Styela clava: one gene and its partner. The protein of the gene in region 1 purifies or fractionates together with the protein of each later gene. This does not show direct contact. Links are inferred from orthologs where the notes say so. Each region holds a gene or a part of one and is shown on either strand. Other genes may lie near its edges.

Region 1 (11,443 bases):
TACATAGAACTGTAGAAAGTTGCAAATATGGTACAGACTTGATGTATTTCAGTTAAAGATGTACCGTACCGGTATGATGCCAAACCACTGCACTGTACCTGGTTCGGGCAGTACGGTACGGTAACTAATAAATAGCCTAGGATACAAATAAATCGTGATAACCTATTCAGCCTTCCTCATCGTCATAGCTGGCATAGACCTAACGTTACCAGCTACCATATTTTGCTAAAGAACCGAATATCATACAATTGTATACCATTTACGGTACAGTATAGTAATATCCGATCATAGAAGTCTCGAAGAATTCAGCTATGAAAGAAGAACAATAATATATGCTGATTATGGAGTCGAAATAAACTTATACTTATACTTATTATTATAAAAAAGAATATGAGGGCCGCTCACTGTTCGTCATACTCTCTCCTGTTGACTAACAAATTTGAAGTTCGCGCCACAGCAATGACGCAATGAAACTTGGGATTTAAATTCCGTGTTCCGTATTCGTATAAAAGTTGTTGGGAAAATTGATATATAGCGCAAAAACATAAAATAATATGTGTTAGGAACTAACTGAGAGAAGGCAGGAACGACTAGATACAATTTAAAAGAATGAGAACAGCCGTGTGCAACAGGCGGCCCGCGGGCAAGCTGTTTAGTCAATCAATCAATTTTATTTGGTCACTCTGATAGAAACGAAAAACAAAACAACAACAAACGAACAAACAAAATACAGAGGACACGCATAACTTAATAAAGAAGTTAAACTCGTGTTAAAGTAACGTGTTTAGGGCCCGTTCACGAAAAACAGTCAAAACACAATAAAACAAAAACACGATATAAAATCGGGCAATACTTTAAAATTGAATTTAAAATGTGAGACGTGTGTGTGTAACACAACAGTGCTTTTCCTACAAAACTTTGAAATAATACACACTCGCTGACGTAAAACGGTGATGCTGTAGGCCTAGTTCAATTTCATTAAATCTTACAAAAATAACACAGTGACAAAAAAATGGTTACTGAAAAAACAAGCTCGATAAATAGATTGAATGTTTCATAGCAGTCTATGCACAAATCATGGATTGGGGTATCGGGTTCTTTTGCCGTTTTCGATTAGTTCAATTCAAAATCATTGTATCCGTTTCAATGCTTTCAACATTAATTTCAAATTTCCACGAACAACTACTATTCCAACAGGTGCAGTGGTCCCATCTTTTCTGCCTCTGTTATAAGTATAAGTTTATTTCGACTCCATAATCAGCAAAACAATAAAATGAATGGTAAAAATAAATAAATAAAAACTGATTATGAAATTAGGAGAGCGAACAAAACCTTAGATAAGGTTTAAAACGTACAGAATGTATATAAGATGGAAGGTTTTGCCAAGAAGATGTGGTACGTATTCACTCACCTAAAATAATTGAAATATTTCACACACGCTCACACACACAACCATATAGAAGTTATTAAGTAAAGGGAACATGAAAAATTACATACTGGTAGTTGATAAAAAATAAAAACTAATAAAAAATAAAAGTTAATAAAAAATAAAGATGTACCTGTTCCACCATCCACAACTAGATTCAGTGTGGCACTTGTTAACATAGTTTTCCACATCAAAGATAAAATCCTAATCTGACAGTTTATGTTTAACAAGCGGCTCACATGGGTAAAAACACATAATGTTTTTGCACTTTTCGCTGCGTCAAATCTTCCGCCGCTTTGCCCAGTACCTTTATTGCTGTGGGTTGAGGCTAAGCGAAAGCATTCTCTTCTCTTGCCTTTGCCTTCCGGCAGGGGTCGGCAACTTTTTGTCACTCGCTAGCCAAAATTAAGAGTTGTAAGTCATTAGCGGGCCGCACATATTTTTAGAAAGATAAAAACCGAACGAATGGTCGATGAATCATACTTTTCCACACAGATCAGAAGTTAAATTTAAGCAGCGCGCGAAGACTGCACCAACTCGTGAACTCAACTTGGTCGTCTCACTTGAAGAAAAAAATTACAAATGACATTTAATGTGACACTTTATGTTGCATCACGCTTTTCTAAATGGGACACTGGATGAAGCCAAGATTGAAACATTTTATAAATGGGAATCACTAATCCGAGTTCTCAGATTGTTATTTCTGATGTTAATTTTCAAAAATAGTTGTTCGCATCCATATGTACTTCCAAACATCGATGTGAATTTTTTCGAATGGTTTGTCAAATTTGGATATAGTTTACTATGAAGAAGACACTTTTTATAACAAAAATCACGCAGCGATACATCTCTCGAATGGAATATATATATATATATATACTGTATATTTATTTCCTCATTGCATTGCTTCTCAAAAAATGCCATTTGAATAATTTCTTCGCCATTGAAGAACCCTCTGTACTTAGCATCAACTTTTCTGCGTTTTGTTGCCATTTGTCTAATTATAATTAAAGTATAGGCTCATTAAACGAGTAATTGTGAATTATATACTTGTTAGGTTATAATATATATAATTTAGTCTGCACGTATCGCACAATAAATTCAGTTACGTAAAAATAAAATCGTCAAAACAGATGTTTTGTTACTATAATTCAGTCAAGCGTCGCGGGCCGGATTATATTACTCCGCGGGCCGTAGGTTGCCGACCCCTGCCTTACTGCTAACGCTCTGCCCGCGGCGTTCTGGTTGTCGATATTGTATTTTGGCATTTGCAGTAAGATACAAACTTTTACGTTTTTTTTTGGCAATATTATGCTCCATCCGTGAGACTGATAACCCGACATTTTTTGGCTCACTAATAATTATTTCCCCAAATAAACCAACCGAGCTAGATGAAATTGAGCGCTTGAAAAGCTTGGAGACCTTGACAACAAAATACGTCTTTGGAGAGCTTTTTCAAGAATATCGTCAGATATCAGTGGCTGCTTGTCCTTGTTCCTGTTTAGAGAGAAAGGCGCGAGTCAACTTCGTCCTGAAAAATCATTGCCCTCCTCCCCAATTCTTGGCTTGGCTACGCTCTTTTCGTTGCTTCGGCATTTTGCCATCAGATGAATTCACCTCGATTCTTTATATAGTACTTCATTCGATGCAAGAACCGGTTTTGGAAAAATGGTACAAGGTTTTTTTTTGATGTGATAATTTTTATTTGCTCAACTATTTGTCTGAAGCAATAAGAAATTACTAAAGTCATTTGTCATGCGGTTATTGCAAAACCTGATAAGCGCAACCGCAACATCTTTATACAGTATAGTACTGAGCTTTTGTGTGACTAAACAGTCACCTAAAGTCCTAAAGTACGTGATTCATGCCTTCGGTGAATATGCAGAAGTTTGAATGCCTAGACGTAATAATTGACAACTCGCAATGGAAGTTTTAGACAATAATATGACAATCACTCGACAGTTTTCTTTATTTTTAAACATGGAACGCCGATATATAATTGTACCTTTAAATTTGGAAATAAATTTTCCATATTCATATACTTGCACATCTCACTAATCAGTTATCACCTGTTAGTCGTTGGTTATCACACACGCAACGGCTATTTTGCACGGTGTTGGGTTTGTGAGCAAATTGCAGCTAATCTGATAACGAAGGGAGACCCCTGAATAATGACCCGTCGCCCATATTCATGTTTATTTGTTTTCCTTCTCTTTTAGTGGATGCACGCGTTCAATAAGTCCTGAACTCATATTTAGTTTGTTTGTTTTTTCATTATTTTTCCCTTTTTATTTTCTGTAAATTGTTTTATTTTTGTGAATGAATCGAAATAAGATTCATACAACAATCTCGCAAATGGGTATTTTCTTGGGGTTGAAGGTCATGGAGCCAACCATTCCATTTCTTACCCTGTTTCAGTGTTGCCTTGTGAGAGATAATTTACGTATAATTTATACCTGATTATTGTTATTCGTTTATTATATTATGATTTTTATTTATTGCATAATCCACATTGTGGAATCATAAAAAAAAATATATATATAATTTAAATGTAATAAATACCCATTTAGATGATAGAATATTTTCTAGATTATTTTAGCATTCATTTAAATATATTTGGATTATTTTGGCGAAAAATGGTATTTTGCATTGTTTTTCTAGTGGCAAAGAAGTGAAGTGCAGTTCATGTCTGCATGTAGACCAGTAGACGTAGTCACATAACTTGCTTATAAATTATAAATACCAAAGATAATAAATCACTCATTATATCACAAGCATACCGTAACTACCGGTATGCTGTGTGTCAACTAGTCTAAGTGCTGAAGTGTGTTAGTAGTATCGCTATTTCGATACAAAAAAAACAATTACAGTAAAATATGAAAATTCAATGTCTGAATTTTCTATTTAGCCTACTTACTGACTTACAGGATCTTCAATAGATAGATTGATTTATTTGAAGACTCAAATAAATAAAAGGAGAAAGCGAGCAAAATCTTTAAAAAAGTTCAAAACATGAGAAATATTATGTACATATTATATCAGTATATATATCGGTATATAGCCAATATATAGTCTATACAATATTATACAATAAACACAAACCTTGTAAAACAAGGCAAGGGCCATAAAGTCAGAAAGTATATTGTTTCTTTGTATTATTCAATATTAGTGTATTTGGTATTCGGAGATTGCAGAGAGAAAAAATTTCTTCCATAAATATTGGGTAATTGTCTAATGTCCTTTCCAGTGCGGTGTGGCTCATTGTGCTAAGCGTTAGGAATACGCTCGCCACCGCATCTCTAATTACTTTACGTGGGTTCGCAGGTTCTAATCCAGTGGTTCTTAAAGTATGGGTCGCGACCCAAACATGGGTCGCGGAAGGTTTAAAAATGGGTCGCGACAAGGTCGTCAATGCAAGGGCAATCTAAGAGGAGAAGGACGAATTTTCAGCTTTCCCAATGTTTCAATTCAGCTTCTAAACTCTGGTATTTAAAAATAATGAAATAAAAAATTTCATTCACGGAAAGAACTGTCTTGAGCTCATTGTTACATCACAATTCTGATATGCCAGTCACGTGTATTATTTTTATGGCATCGGTAACCATGCACGTCGCTTGTCGTTGTGTTGACCGCATGGAATGTCGTCTTAGTGGATTAAAATAACCAAAAATGGGTGTCATTTTGGTAATGAAAATTGTAATAGACGACGCAATGAAAAAGCTCGCTTCTCGACATTAGATTATTCAATATCTAGAGAAAATGTGACTTCATCTCGAGGCACCATTTACCGCGAACGAAGCAGTGCGTGCACATGTGACGAGTAAAAAGTTGTATATTGCGAGAGATACCGAAGGCCAGCTAGGATGTCGTGTTTGCGACGGACAGCGGACGCCTTTTCTGCTACAATTCCCGACAAGGCACTTGTGCGAGCGAGGATATTTGGCACTGACGGTTATCAAAACTAAGCTCGCAATCGCTTCGATACCCGTGACAACTTGCGCATTGCGTTAAGTAAATTAGAGCTGTGTATTGAAGATATAATGAAAAAGTAAATTTCAGTTTCATCAATCTCACTGAGTCAATGGACTGTTTCTGATAAATAGTTGTCTGTATTTGAGTCAAACTGTACTAACATTAAAAACACATTTTGCGTTTTTTAGGATTGGGTCGCGAGTATTCATAAAACTCAGATTTGGGTCGCGCTCGAAAAAGTTTAAGAACCACTGTTCTAATCCCATGTGGGGGTCATGTGCGAGAGTATTGCTGGACTCCTCGCCGCTGTAGGGTGGTTCACGTAACCCCTGGGATTACGGCTTCCTCCACCATCAAGTCCATGCTTCTGAAAACAAATAACTAACTAATCCCATACCCGTCATGGAATGGTAACCGGACGAGATGCCGTGGTTCGCTACATGGTCAAGCCATCTTATGGACTTTCCTCTCCCCCGGGATAAATATGTAAATCCTATCCTACTTGGGCCTAGAGTAGTGACGTAATTTTTTGATGGCGGAGTCAGGTGGGGGTTAGGATTAACATGACACAAAAATCGTTATGCTACGCCCACTAGACTGACTAGAGGTACGAGTCCGAATACTTAACAGTAACACTCATGATATTAAGATTGATTGTTGAATTTGGGATTCCTATTACTGTTTCATTAACTTTCTCATTATTGAATATAGCATAGGCGCTCTGTATAATCTAATAATAATCAAGCAATCAGACAGCAGCGATGGCGGAACAAAAATTTGAAGTATCACAAGCTGCAGGAATTGTGCGTGATGCACAAGGATTTGCATTCATTCCTGCAACTCAACGTCCAGATGGTTCATGGAGAAAAGCAAGACGAGTGAAAGATGGTTATGTCCCTGATGAAGACGTAGCTCGGTACAAAAACAGAGCAGCAAGAAACCGAGCGAATGCTCCAGCATGCCCCGGCTTATCTTCCAATCCCAATCCTGTTTCCATGATAAAATCGACTGAACGAACGACTTTAGAAAAACTCAGTTCTCCAATTGAAAGTGCTTCTGCAGATAATAAAAATTTATCCAAATCAGCGAAAAAGAACTTGAAACGTAAAGAACAACGTCAGAAGAAGCAAAACGAGATGACGAAAGCTTCTGTTATTGCGCAATATGAAACGGTTAAAACGGAAAATGTTACAGATGGTACTAAAAGTATAAATGAAAAACTTGCTTCTGTTGCAATTAATGATATCAGTCAAAGTCAAGATGACGACAGTGCGAAAAAAATTAAAAACCTAAAAAAGAAACTTAGACAAATTCAAGAACTCAAAGAAAAAATAGACTCTGGGGTAATAGAGAATCCTGATAAAATGCAACTTGAAAAAATTGCTAAACAAGATGGTCTCGAAGCAGAACTATGGGAATTAGAAAAAGGTTCTTAGAATTGCTATAGGTTCCCATTTTAGTGACGCTGCATTGAATTTGTTCGAAACATGTTCTGCAATTTAGCATTGATATATAAAAAATGATATTGGTATCCCATAATATCCAAATGTCATATTGGTTATTGCATTAATCTAACCCAGGGGTGTGCAACATTTTTGTCGGTGGGCCACATAACCAACATCTAATCTAACTGGGCCACACGAAAACAAGAGAATGCGACTATCGCTTAGCCCTGCAGTAATGAAAGGCATCGAGAAAAACAGCAAAAAATTTAGTGCAGCGAAAAAAGCAAAAAAACTTCTATCTTTACTCATCTTAGTGACTTTTAAAACAATAACAGTCGGATTATAATTTCATGCTTAACGGGAAATAGTTTAAATGTTGACAAGAGTTACATTAAAATGCTCAGCGGTCTCAGTTGTGGCCCACGTCGCACCTGTTGCACACCTCTGGTCTAAACGCACGTATGTTGGCATTACATATTGAAGACTCCATTGGTGTTGCATGACCATCATTTGACCCAGGAAGAAAAAACAAAGGAGTTGTTAACTTTATATATTATCATTAAACTTTGTTGAGATGGTATGTTAAAGATATTGGGTATAAGCCTGCTTGTCATCTGACCTAAGAAGAAAAAATGGAGTTTAAAACTGTGCAGTCTTTATATCCTTAATGAATTCGGTAGAAAAAAAATTATCATCTTTTTTCCAGCAAGCATTTGTGCATTATGTTTGGAAGTTTCCCTGTAATGTGTGTTTCTTAGTATATTCTATCCATCTCAGTATGCTATTATTTTTTGCTCTCTTTCACCTCCATACAATTCAAACTGATGAAATTCTTTATTTGGAACTGTCTAGATTTTAAAACTTAGAATCTGTATACTACATCAGACATATAAATTGAAAATCTTGATTGATTGGGCTGTCCAATATTTTACACTATACAAGATTAAATACTTCCTAATTACATTAAGACATTTTTGACAGTTTAAAAAAGTTGAGTTACAAATTTGAATACACAAAGTAAGTGATATTTGAAAATTAAAGATGAAACTGTATATGAAATGTATTCAAATTGTATATGAAATATATAAAAGTTCAATCTTCCAAATTTGAAATACAATTTCCAAAATTTATTATTTATTAATTTTTTTTGCGTAATCTTACAAAGTAAATTAATGTAAAAAGTATGAATTAAAATTGATTTCAGATAAGAATCCTTAAATGACATACTACTGTATTTTCCAGGAACTTTTTTAAAACTGATTTTTCAACTGTATTGTAATATTTTAACTCAAGCCTCGTTTCAATCATTACTTACTACCAAATAATGTACCAATAATTCTATATAAAGGTCAGTTTATACTTCTGCGTGAGTGTCTGCGACCTTGCTTTGAGTAAATTTTCATGGAAAAAATATTGGAGACAGACATTCGATCTATGAGAATGATTTGTTTATTTTTGTAATAGTTACTTTTTAATCATCAATATATTATTTTTGTTACTTATTCATATTTTGACACACAAAATTTATTTAACAACATAGGCAAACTGACAGCTTGGCTGAGAGTTCTTTGTTTGTATTGTTCAGAAATGATCTTTTGGGGAATTACAATACTTTTAGACTTGTTAGTATGGTGTGATACGATTTTCGCTATTTGTTTGGTTGATTGTCATGGCTCTCAATTCCAGCAATCATTAATAAATATGAGTTATTATCATTTGATAGCCTTATTTTACAGAGATTTGATCTAGTAAATTCAATCTTTGTTAATTTATCCAACAAAAACATGGCGCAATACAAAGGAGCAGCAAGTGAAGGTACACGGGCAATGCATATGCAGAAAAAAAGAGATAAAGAAAAGGAAAAATTAGAACTCATGAGAGCAAAGATTGTTAATGTAAGTAAAGTGTCATCATTCGCACTTGTTGAAGTATTTTTCTTATTATGCGTTTTCATGCTTTCTCTCAGAATATTACGTTTTACAAGCAGCGTTCAGTGGGGGGACCTACTTTATTTTAGAATAAACTGAATATTCATTAGCCGTTGTCCTGGATTAGTTGGGGGGGGGGGTGAATGCGAGATCATTACCCTGCAACTTCAACATGTTTAGACATCTCCAGATAGTTTTTTGTTATAATCAATGTTTTCGCGTCAAAATTATGTTTTATGTTGAAATCTTACAAACTTAAATTTAGCATATGATATATTCTTGGTGCTTGACACTTTGTGCTTTAAAACACACTTGCTATAATCTATATTAATAATTAATCAATTGCATTGTGGAAGATCTTATATACCAGGGAAAGATGGAACAAATAGTTTATAGATTCTGATTGTATTTATTGTGTTATGTCAACTTCTTTATTTCGTTTCAGGAAAATGCAATCAAATCAAACATACATAATAAATTTTCTGCCCATTATGATGCAGTCGAAGCAGAACTCAAGTCCAGTACAATTGGTGAGTTTTTTTGACTTTTTCTAAAATTGACATCTCAGATTTTGAACAGGGATAGCTTAAATATTGGTAACCCCCACTTTATTAAATTAACATTATTAAATTAAATGATCAGTATACACATGTTTCTCAAAGCACATGCAAGCAAAAAAGTTTGAGAAGCACTGCTCTATTGGTATGGCCATTTGCTGCTATTTACTGCTTGTGGCCAATTTTTAAAATATTACAACTTGAAAAGTTATCAAGCCATTTTTTTATAGGTCTTGTAACACTGACTGAAATGAAAGCAAGACAAGATCTTCTTGTAAAAGAAAGGGAAAAACAAATTGCAACTTCAAATGAAGAAGCAAGATTGTAAGTTCAGATTTTGTTTTCTCTGATATATTTCTCAATGTGTGTATCAACAAGAAACACGCTGTTGTTTCTTTTAATACAATCATTCTAAGATAGAAAATTTTACTACGAACATAATTCCGGAAATCAGGAAAAATGTCTTCTGACAAGTATTGAAATATTTGTGGTGTTTCACACTTCCTAGTCTCTAGATAAGATAGCCACTTGGATAAGATAACCACTTATTCCTCAAAAACATCAAGATTTGAGAAGACAACTATTATTCATTCAGTTAAGCATACCCAATTAAATTGATTATGATAACGCCCAAACTGAGATAGTTGGGAAACCAAGATTTGAACCTGCTGTCTCCAAATTACGTAGTAATAAATGTACCGGTAATTTATTGCTCTTCAGAAAAAAGAAAGAAAAAGAGAAAAAACGGAAAGCGGAAAAACAGATTCAAAAATCGACTCTATCATTTGATCCAGAAGATGAGGAAGAGGAGGAGGAAGGTATGTATTTCTTCTGTCGTTGCTAGTTTAAGAGTCTTGTTCTGAGCTGTCACAAGATAAAATCACTTTTTCACTTTATACAGAAGAAATAGCAATTAAGAAAAAACCTAAGAAAAATCCAGACGTTGATACTAGTTTTCTACCTGATCGAGACAGAGAGGTAAGCACATTCACTGAAATTTGTTTCCTTTTTTCCACTTTTTCACCAACGGACAATATTTGGATCTTGTCTTAATTGAGCATGATAATATGTATTGTATAATAGTCAATGACACTCATCCAAATCATTCTGTTCTCAATTTCAATTTTTTATACAATGCTTATTAAAGGCTTCCACTCTGAACATGGCTCTGTACAAGCAGAGGTACGGTAACTGTATAGATAAGGAAGTACTATTTTTTGGAATCAACTCGTTCAATCCACATTTTGTCATAAATGTGGGATAAATATTTATTTATAAACAAATACAAAACTATTAGGTCACAGGTATGGGTTAAATCAGAGGTTCTCAGCCTTTTTCGATATACTCTTTTGGGTCTCTTCACTCTTCTCTCATTATACATTTGTACCGTTATTTGGGTCAATGTTTAAAAGATTCTTAGCATGTGTTACCCGCGACTTGCACTCTGGCTTTTGTATAATTTATAATGTGTCCATAAAATTGTATTGTAAAAGAAGTATTAACTAAACAATATTATTTAAACTGCATGAAACACAAAGTATTTCTTCTGTCCTTATTCCTCTGCTACTGGGAAATGAGATATGGTAAAGTGAAATCTCAATTCCCATTTCATGCTGACCTTGTTCTACTCCTAAACCGCACTGAAAACAAAACATACTAAAGTTTTTCTTTGTCTAGGCCGCTGAAAACAGATTACGAGAAGAATTAAGGCAGGAATGGCAAGAAAAACAAGAAACAATTAAAAGTTTGTGATATCTAATAGATCTGATCATTGTTTATTGGACTGATTATTCATTTTCGATAATTATTTTCACCATCTTTAGATGAAGAAATTGAAATCACGTATAGTTACTGGGATGGATCTGGCCATCGAAAGAAGACAAAGGTGGAGTACAATATTTTTTATTCGAAGTTATTTTTTCAATCAGGACTCTATTACAAACAGCGACTAAGATGCGACAAGCTAGCTGTATACTGTTGTCACTTGGCAGTATTCCTTTTTTCATAATAATGTCAGTAGTTAGTTGTATGTTGATAGGATTTGGAATAGTTTCAATGTACAATTTTTCAGCAGTCATGCTGGTATGGTGATCATGCATTTGCTCACCTCTTGCT
Region 2 (10,534 bases), on another chromosome or scaffold:
AGAGCATTTCCGTATATCCTACCACTTCCTGGAATTGCATTGGATTCAGGGAATTACTAATTGACAAAACTTCATGTGCTGCAGCAAAGGCATCAAACTGATAAAAAAATTTGAAAAATTTATTACCTAAGTGACCGAAGTATTTTGCAAGTTGCAACTAAGCCTTTTTGAACCTTTGTACTTTGCACTTATTGCATATGAATTCATTGATACAAAGGAAAAGAGAAGGGCAGTAGTTAGGCATTACTTACAGTATATCCCGATCAATTACACATTCACACAACATACTTTTTCATTGAGAATCACCAAGTACAGAAGTGTACCATTTTGAGTAGCTTTTATTTTTTATCACTTTATTCAACAACTAAGTGGATTAATTTTAATTCTAGTGAATGAACCACAAAAACCAGAAAAAACTACTGATAACCAACGCATCACAAATGTGTGAATTATGAGAACTATTTTTTTTTCAATATATATACTTTAGCAGTGCGGAGAGTTTCACTAAAAGTGTATTAGGGCATGGCTAAAGTTTCCCGCTTCCCAGTCCGGAGTAAATTGATGCAACAACTTAGTTCATGACAAGTATAATACACTTACCACATGGCCAAATATCTCTGGTGCAAATAATTTTCCTAGTAGTTGAGTTTTTACTCCGCCGCCAAGAAGGTACATCAATCCAAAGAAAAATCTCATACAATTGATTGCAAACTTGCCCATTTTTACAGATGCACAAGGTAGACAAATAAATGCTTATAATACTATTGGGAAAATTGCATACTCTGCACTATGTAATATCTGAATAATATGGTGAATGTATAAAAATTTATATGAAAAAACTGCAGTGGGAAAAATGTAATATCATGGTGGCGAGAATTGTATATACAACATTTGAAAGTACAGAAATCTATAATATTCAAATCAAAGCTGTGTTATCACATATTAGAGTTGTTTTTATTGATATTAGAGCTGGATTCGTATTTTTAATTCCTTACAGTCAGAGTTGAAATTTTCACAGGCTCTTATTAATAGTGAAAATGGACGTCAAACTTATATGACAGAAAGTTAAAAGGCATTATGTGGACCATACATTCTTAATAACAGATAATTGAAAAGGGATTGCATTGAACTAGTTTTGTTCTATCTGAATTCAGAGCCAAAATTCCCTTCAACCTGGAGTTGGGAGACTAAATCAGATTTGTTCAACCCAAAGCCATTAGTCTATGTCGTGTTTTTTAAAGGTCAAAGGTTGTTTTACCCGAACTCCACAGCCATGCTTGAAAATCAATCAATATCCAGTCACATAAAAACACTTTGAAGATATTTTAGAATTTGTAGCACCAGAATGAAACTGCTTTCTATAACTAGCAGTCAAAAGAATGACAGATTGGAATATCCTTAATTGCAGATTTCATACTTTCGTACAGAAATTTACTTACAAAATAACGAATCAAGGACACATAATTAGCCATGCTTGGATGATAATAATAATAATAAAAATTGAAGACAAAAAATCAAAATGCTAGAAAAAGTATTCACAAAATATTCAGTGTTTTGGATATAGCTAACACAAATAGTGATTCTGTAAGATTGTCAATATAACGCAAAACAATTTTGCTCATACATGAAGTATGTTGCTACAAACTAAAATAGCGAGAAAAAACAGTGTAAAGTAAGATAGAAGAAATGTGTGTTGATTCAAATAGGTTGAAGAAATTTCATGGATTAAGCAAAACATGGACTGCTATAACGGTCAGAATATACTTGGACATGAAATGGACCTACAAATGATTGGCCAAACTGTTTCCATTACTCTTTTCAGATTTTCAGTATTTCAATTGAAATAAGTCACTAGATCTAGAAAAGACTAGAATATGAGCATTTTTATTCCTTTTTAACTTTTTTTGGTCCTATAAACCAGGCAGTTCATCCATAAATACCTAATTTGCAAGTGCAAGATTTTCTCAAGCTAAGCCTCATAATCAGTCATTTGGTCTCCATGTTTATATAATTGATTTAAGTATTGCACACTTGTCTATACTTGATCTGCCAAGCGAGGCGACGTGTTTCTAAAGTCAGTGCACAGCACAATATATTCAAATGACATGATGTACATTGACTTCTTCTTATTTTAAAGTTGGATAAAAATTGCACTATTGGAAGGAAAATAAGGCAACATAGCTTACAAGAGGTCATGGGACTCATGGCTGGCAAGAAAATTGTACTAATGGATTGAACATTTCAAAAATGCAAAATATTGGATAAAAAATATAAGAAAATGTAAAAAAATATTTCGACAATCAAATACTTCATGATTACTTAATTAACCAGGTTTGAAGAAACTGGAACACTTATTAAGTGTTAATTAGTCTATAAGTCACTGCATTACACTTTCTTTTATTTGGTATAAGTAATAAGACTCAATTTAAAAAAGCATGATTTGGAGAGAAGAAAGAGGAGCTTCATTTCCAAACCAGCATAAAAATCACTAAAAAGTAATATATATATGTATTCTAACCCTCAGCCTTCATACCAATAGGGTTCCTGCCTCACAAACATAGCAAGGATAAAAGCTCCGAATGATAAAGTAAGATTGTGCCAATAAAATTGATCCAACAAATTGAGAAGATAACAGTGACAAAGTAACACCAGTGATAGAACCATGCCAGCCAAAGGAATCAATTGTCTCGATATCAACATGAAACCTGAAAATTTTGCTTGAATTAATAATAAGTTCCATGAAAACCTGGAAAGCCTAGAGCCCAGGTTGTCTCATTGCCCAATCATACAGGTAATAATAATGGTGGTTATTTTCTTTTTGGCGGCCGTGATGCCCTAATGATTTAAGTGTTGGACTTACTAGCTATGTTGGTAATTGGTATCACAGGTTGGAAACCTCATCAATAATTATTTAATTATTAAGAGAAAATTCAAATAACAAGTGAATATACTAATTTGTGAAGATTTGTTTGTTAACAATGACCCAACTATGAAATATATTCGCTATTCTAAATATCAAACTATATTACTGAAACACATTTGAAAATTGAAATATCTAAAGAACCTAATATTATTTTCATTTTTCTTACCACAAAGCATTTCCAATGTCGCAAATATTCCTTGCATTCGCATTGGACTTATAATTTCATATAGTGGGAGAACATCATGAGCAACAGAGAAATAAACAGTCTAAAAAACCAATGAGAATTAATTATGAGTGAAAGGCGAAAACATTTCATTTATAAAATGCGTAATTGATCTCTTGGAACAGTATTATTCTAACTGGAAAATCGAAGCATCATGCATAAGTAAGAAGTTTGGGTACTAACTAATGTAGTATGTGAATCAAGATGGCGGACATCGGAATGTAGTATGCGTACCAGGTTAGGCTTAGGCCATAATTTCAGGTACAAATACTACGGAAGTCGCTTGGCTGGTCCCTGAACTCGAATAGAACTAAAATATTGAAAATTGAAATAAACTTATGGCCTAACTTTAACCTGGTGCACATACTACGTTCCGGTGTCCGCCATCTTGGTGTACATACTACAGGAGCGCTGACATGGGTGTCATTTGCTTATCGTTAATAATAAAACGTAAAGAATGCAATTATTTTCACAACAATCAAGAAAAACATTTTTCAAAGAATACAATTGAATGAATATTTCACCTATTTTACAAAGTAATCGTATATTACCATTTCATGGTACAAATCTGGTGCAAATGCCCTTCCAAATGATTTTGTTTTAACTGCACCCGTGAGCAAGTGAAGTAATCCTAAAATGAAGCTGGAATGTCCAATGGCAATTCTGTTGACTTTCTTCCAAGTTAGCATTGCTGCTAGTTTGTTTATTAGATATTAAGTAACTGTCAGTTGAATATTAGATTTGAAATATTAAATTTAGGATTCAAAAATGAGTAAATATTTTATATTCTAATTGAATATAATTTTGTTAATAAAATCTGAAAATAACTATAAATACACATTCATGCTGGTCACTCCAACGAATAAAATTCAATTACATCAAAGTAAGTACAGTAATATACAAAAGTAATGTGTAAATAATAACAATTAAAAAATTCGAGTTATGGAAAAAAAAATCTCCATATGTGTTAATTTGTCATATATTATAGCAATTTAGAATACTTTAAAAAGTTTTGGCCTTTTATATGACAGGCGTAATTGGATAAGGTTTAAAGCATGCTACATAACCTGTACCTTGCAATTTTATTTTCAAAATATTATTTCACTGTAATTTATTTTTTAATGATTTACTGCAGAATATAAAAATTTGAAATAAAGAAATTTGACTATGCATTTTCAAATGTAGTATATGTTTGCATATAAACGACATTAAAAAAAATTCTGCTAATGCACACATAAGCAAGAAACTAGACATGCTAACTTATAAGGTATACCAATAAAAAGATGTTAGTGTCCTATTTGACAGGACAGTTTATCAATGTTGAATAAAGTTCCCAAAACACTCAGTCGAGTGGAGCTAATCACGAAGTTGAGTCTCAGTGGCATTCAGTTGATGAGGCATTTAAATTTTTGATAAATGATAAATAAAATGCAATTTGAGCCGAAAGAATGAATCAAACCTGGTACGTAAACGTATATTAGAAAATATATATTATTTTGAACTGATAAAAACTTTTTTGTTCAATATTCACTATCCCATTTATTTTTACCATCCTTCCACATTAAATTGATAAAATATTCGAGTGGTTCAGATTCATGCATTTCATGTTCAGAAGTTTGTTCTGATACACATGCATCATATCCACATATTACTCTTAAATATACAAAACGGGCTAACACAGCGTAAAAAAGAAACTTTTTTTCATCATATGTGAGACTAAAATTTTTTTCAAAACCAGATAATGTAGTTTTAGCAGCATCATATGGATTTATATTAGGCGATGTCACAGTCGCATACATTGCACTCGCAATAGGAATTGCAGCTTCATATACATAATAACTAATACCCATGTCCGAAAAATCGATAATCCCTTTTACTAAATAGTTATCGACATCATTTTGCAGTTTTTTAAAAATGAAATTTTCAAGACACATATCGTTATGTATAACCCCTTTTCTTATTTGGGAAAATTCATTTTTAATACTTGAATCCTTTAATTTTTGCATAACAATAGAACAAATGTTACGTACATTTTCATCATTTACAATATTTAACCTCACATCTTCAATATGCATATTTTGTACAAGATAGTAATCATTCACACGTTTTAAAGCTGAAGGCGGGTCTTTTATTTTAAACAATTCAGCAGTCAGTTTTCCAGCACACAAACCTATTTCATGGCAAAAAGATAGAAATGATTCAGATTTAAATTTAAGGTTTTTGTATTCTAAACCAGTGACATAAGACATTAAAATTACTTTTCGAACTCCATTAGAGGTATCAATCTGACCAACATAACCCCCAGTTGTACAAGTAACTGGTTTAGGAATCTCAAATTGCAATTGAGGAATTTGTCTCAATACGTCCATGATAGCTTCAGTGAGTCTTTCTCTCTTTGAGTCATTGACATTAACTATCTTCAAGACATATTTGTCTCTATGTTCCGAATTGTGACTTAAATCAACGCATTCCAAGATATAGTTAAGGTCATCATATCCACTAATTAGTTCAACTGATAAAGCTTTATAATTATAAAAATCCAGTAATATTTTTGAGATATTTATATCAGTATTCTGCATATTCAACCTAATTTAACTAGAATCAATGATATAAAAAACAAGATGGTAATGTACAAGTATAATATTCATGAAATTGGTTCAAGTACTAGACTACAATAGCGGTCACTGCTTAAATAATGTCCAAAAAAATAGGATTTTTCATGTTTTTTTTTAAATAAAAAGAAAGACTATATGGTGCAGAATGAAATTTTTGGCAGACGTGTTTAGTTGAAATCAAACCTACTCAATTTTCAACAAGCAATTTGTATTGCAATTATATTTAATCAGTCTGATGGAATTTGTATGTATTAAATAGTAACTGACAGACTGACCAAAACAACCAGCACAAAGACATTAGGCATCGATAAGATTTTCAGAATGATGTAAAGAATGTTACAGGATGTCGTTTGACCCAAATTTGCTGAGCTCTATATCACTATACAAGTGTGCAATCTATAACATTTATAATTTTAACATTCAATGTAATAATGAAATGAATATTTGGTTGAGTAATTATTAGGCTTCTATGATTATTAGGCAAAAGATCTATCTCAAAAGATAAAACGACCTGGGACATGTTCCTAGAATTGAATATATAAGGTCAAATAACTACTGAAATATTGGTATCTTAAAATCAGTGAAACGTAGTATACCCAATGCTAACATGCGCCGAACACCACGCACAATTCCGACTAACCGCACAAAATTTAACAATCAGCAAAGTCAAATCAAGAAAGTGTCGCTATACTATACTGCTGTACTGTAATAGGAAACTAAAAACCATTCCGCGTTCAAGCGTTTAACTCCGCGACATGTTAGAAATAATACCCTAACCAAAAACACTAAATATTTGTAAAACCTAAATAATGAGTAAAATACCAAATCCTGTCAGCATTTATTAACCAAGAAATCGCCACGAAAACCCATGACGGCAACAAAATATTTTTCAACTCGCGAGCGCCAACTAATGGATTTATTTTTGAACTCATTATTTCAACGCTTCATTGAATACGATTAGTGCGACACCGCGTGTATTTTGAATTGCAGTGCTTCGCCATTTCGCATTTCAGCTTGTTGGAGCGTTTTTGTAAATTAGATAGCCTAGAGTCGAAAATGTCGAACGAATTTTATTTACGATATTACGTTGGGCATAAAGGAAAATTTGGACACGAATTTCTCGAATTTGAATTTCGTCCCGACGGTAAGAATGTTTTTTTTCTTATATCTGCCTTGTCTTTGTTGTTCACAATTATCAATAAACTCTGAAACTTGACAACTGAAAAAAAAATGTTGCAACACTGCCTTTTCTTTACTACCGTACAGTACTAGACTAATAGGAAAGGGTAATTTGACTTTTCAATAAGGTACCGGTAACTGAGATATGTCTTACACTTTACCCTGAATTTCATCACTAGCTGAATTAATCTTGTCCAAATTTAAGGAACTATCACGATAGAAATTCAGAAAGTGTGATAATATACTGATAATGCGAACGTTTCTTTGAATAAGTTTCGTGAAGTCTTTAGTCTCACTATTAGAGGTATGGTACAACAATGTACTGTTGAATAATTGCTTTTTCAATTCAACTATTCAGGCAAATTACGCTATGCCAACAATTCAAACTACAAAAATGACACAATGATCAGAAAAGAAGCTTGTGTTCATAAAGCAGTCCTTGAAGAATTAAAAAGAATCATAGAAGATTCTGAGGTTATGAAGGAAGATGACACAATGTGGCCAAACCCAGACAGAGTCGGACGTCAGGTATTGCGTCGAAAATCTTTCAAATTCATACATTTGCAATTTTAAGAAATACAAATTGGGATGCTTCCTCAATTAATTATTGGCATTCTTTTTTGTGTTGGTAATGATGACTAATCGGCAATACATTGGGAAGATTAAACCAAAGTGATTATTTGGCTGTTGAAAGAGTATTATCTGAGAAACTTCAAAAATAGTTGCAAAAGAAGGAGGTTCAGGCCAGGAAAGCATAGGCTACATGGGATAATTGAGTTCAAATGTTGTCGCTAAAATTTTTAAATTTTTTTCAGGAGCTGGAAATTGTATTGGGTGAAGATCATATTTCATTTACAACATCCAAAATAGGATCTCTGATTGACGTCAATGATTGTAAAGATTCTGATGGTCTTCGTACTTTTTATTATCTCGTCCAGGATTTAAAATGTCTTGTGTTTTCACTCATCGGACTGCACTTCAAAATTAAGCCAATCTAAATAATAGAAAGTGCTGCCTGATATGGATGAAGACCTTGGCTGGAGCAGATGTGGCAAAATTTGTCGTGGAACAATGTGGGTTTGAATTCCCACCAAATACTTTGTACTGTAGTTTCTTACTTCAGAAACGCTTTTTTATCCATTTTAAAAAAAATTCTGGTTGATATCAATTATTATATCAGCTTATGCATAAAGTCTGATCAAATGAATAATGGGACCAGTTTGATGTGTCTCATACTTCGCACAGACTATTGTCAATACCAACGACTTTTTGTTTGGAAGGTTTACACTTTCCCACTGCTTTTTTCATTAAAATGGTTGTTGAAATAAATTTTTAGATCACAAGGTTTAGCAAAAGAGTATCTATTTCAAAATCTTCCAACAAGTCTAGGAAGCTCCCGTTTAATGGATGATTGTCAGCTTTGTCACCCTAAAGATTTCATCGGTTTGGCTGGTCAGTCAGATTGTTCCTACAAAGCAGCTTATGTCACATTTTTTCAGAAATGGACTAGATTAGTTTTGAATGGAGATAGTGCCTCGTGTTCAATTTGGCTACTGCAACTAGACTTATCTTAAAATTCGATATCCTCAAAAGCAATTTGGTTCTACCGCTCTGATATATCGCTAGCATGCTTCGTTATAAGTCTGAAAAAAGTTCGTTTTGGCTCAAGTTACCAGTTGATCTCTCCAATTTCAAAGTCTGAAATTGTGACACCATTTCAAAATCTTCACTCATCGCAGGTTGAACATTACTCTGGCTCAGGCACTCAAGTCTCACACTGAGAAGCTGGTTTCAAAATTGCTTTGCAAATGACAATTTCACCCTCAAATTAGAGGTAAGATCGGGCTAAAAAATTCCAGCCCGACCCGACTCCGGCCCGTGGGTATTAAACCCGACTAATTAACTGGATTTGCAGGCCAGACCTGGGCCCGTGGGTAATAAAACCTGACCCGACCCGAGCCCGACTAATTAACTGGATTTGCAGGCCCGACCTGGGCCCGTGGGTAATAAAACCTGACCCGACCAGAGCCCGACTAATTAACTGGATTTGCAGGCCCGACCTGGGCCCGTGGGTAATAAAACCTGACCCGAGCCCGACTAATTAACTGGATTTGCAGGCCCGACCTGACCCTGGTCCGTGGGTATTAAAACCCGACCCGGGCCCGTGGGTAATAAAACCTGACCCGACCCGAGCCCGACTAATTAACTGGATTTGCAGGCCCGACCTGGGCCCGTGGGTAATAAAACCTGACCCGACCCTAGCCCGACTAATTAAATGGATTTGCAGGCCCGACCAGACTAACTAACAGGCTTTGCAGGCCCGACAAATTAACTGGATTCGCAGGCCCGAAATTTCATATTTTATTTAGGAGTTCTTCGAATTGTCATTGCAAGAGGTTAGTACAGTATTGGGGAATGCTGGGACATATTTCTTCTTTTGTGAGCTCTATAATCTGCACATTCATTTGACAATGCGGGGCTAATAGATAGAGGGTAGCTAAAGGTTTTACTGGGCAAACTAAGAAATTCCCTAGCGACACCCATATTATCATCAAGAGGCATTCAAAAACGTGTAAAATGTCCCGCTGCACTCCACTTGTGCGGCACATTAAATTAAACGAGGTATGCTGTTAAAAAGCAATGAATAAGCATCATCATCCAAAGAACTACGAAACTTTAAATTTCGAAATTTAATATTTATGAAATCGGAACCACTCTGAAAAATAGTTTCTAATAAACATATATTTACTTATAAAAAATCCAGCGATATATAAGCCCGACCCGAACGTAATGATTGTCATTTCAGGCCCGACCCGAACCTAATGATTGACAAATCAGGCCCGACGCGAACGCAATTATTGACTTTTCAGGCCCTACCCAACCTGAACGCAATGTTTGACATTTTAGGCCCGAACGTAATGATTAACAATATAGGCCCGACCCGTACGCAATGCTTGATATTTCAGGCCCGACCCGAAATATCGGGTCGGGCTCCAGATCTTAGCTCTACCTCAAATACAAACTGATTATCCCAGATTTTTCACACACCAATCAGTCTTTATAAAATTATGCATTTACTGCATTAAAAACGCAAGAGGAACTTGATAATTAAATAAGTCTCGTCTTTAGTGATTACGATATTTTCTAGTCTAATAGCACCAAATATTACAAGTTTTGCTCAAAAAGCAAACTAAATTCACAATATAGAACCAAATTTTAAAAAGCACAGAGTTATTAAAATTAGTCCAGACATCCAACTAAATACACAACAATGCAAAATCTGAGAAATAATATTCAACAAGATTGCCAATGTGGAAGTCTTTGCAAGTGAAGGGTTAATAGTGACAAGGACCGGTATGTCATCAAATACCACGCAACATATTTCTATGATTCTTCTTCTGAAGATTTCCACAAGGGCAGTGGTAATATGGCATAAATTATATATGGGCTGAAAATAACGACAGTCTACAGAATTCAACATAATGCGTTTAATCTCAATTACTTTTGCAACATGGCAGCAGCACTTTTAACGAAGGAATTTAATTAAAGAGTGAACAAAAAAAGTTAAAACAACGTTAATATTATTACAAAAGT

The links.
Region 2: the proteins of partner of Y14 and mago-like (region 1) and protein mago nashi homolog purify together in Drosophila melanogaster (affinity purification with western blotting; 4 studies listed by BioGRID, with this or other methods). This does not show direct contact. The link is inferred for Styela clava from reciprocal best matches to the Drosophila melanogaster genes Pym and mago.

Annotation. Positions count from the first base shown.
Region 1 is NC_135258.1:14,691,697-14,703,139, reverse strand, and holds partner of Y14 and mago-like, read left to right. Parts: upstream 1-6,080; 5' UTR 6,081-6,159; coding exon 6,160-6,834; 3' UTR 6,835-8,580; downstream 8,581-11,443. Other genes in the region: protein FAM50A-like, read left to right, coding at 8,628-8,738, 9,217-9,301, 9,559-9,652, 10,049-10,146, 10,230-10,306, 11,006-11,072, 11,152-11,213. UniProt on the Drosophila melanogaster protein: Regulator of the exon junction complex (EJC), a multiprotein complex that associates immediately upstream of the exon-exon junction on mRNAs and serves as a positional landmark for the intron exon structure of genes and directs post-transcriptional processes in the cytoplasm such as mRNA export, nonsense-mediated mRNA decay (NMD) or translation.
Region 2 is NC_135259.1:15,898,184-15,908,717, forward strand, and holds protein mago nashi homolog, read left to right. Parts: upstream 1-6,743; 5' UTR 6,744-6,817; coding exon 6,818-6,905; intron 6,906-7,298; coding exon 7,299-7,468; intron 7,469-7,755; coding exon 7,756-7,938; 3' UTR 7,939-8,295; downstream 8,296-10,534. UniProt on the Drosophila melanogaster protein: Core component of the splicing-dependent multiprotein exon junction complex (EJC) deposited at splice junctions on mRNAs. Involved in exon definition of genes containing long introns, including the rolled/MAPK gene.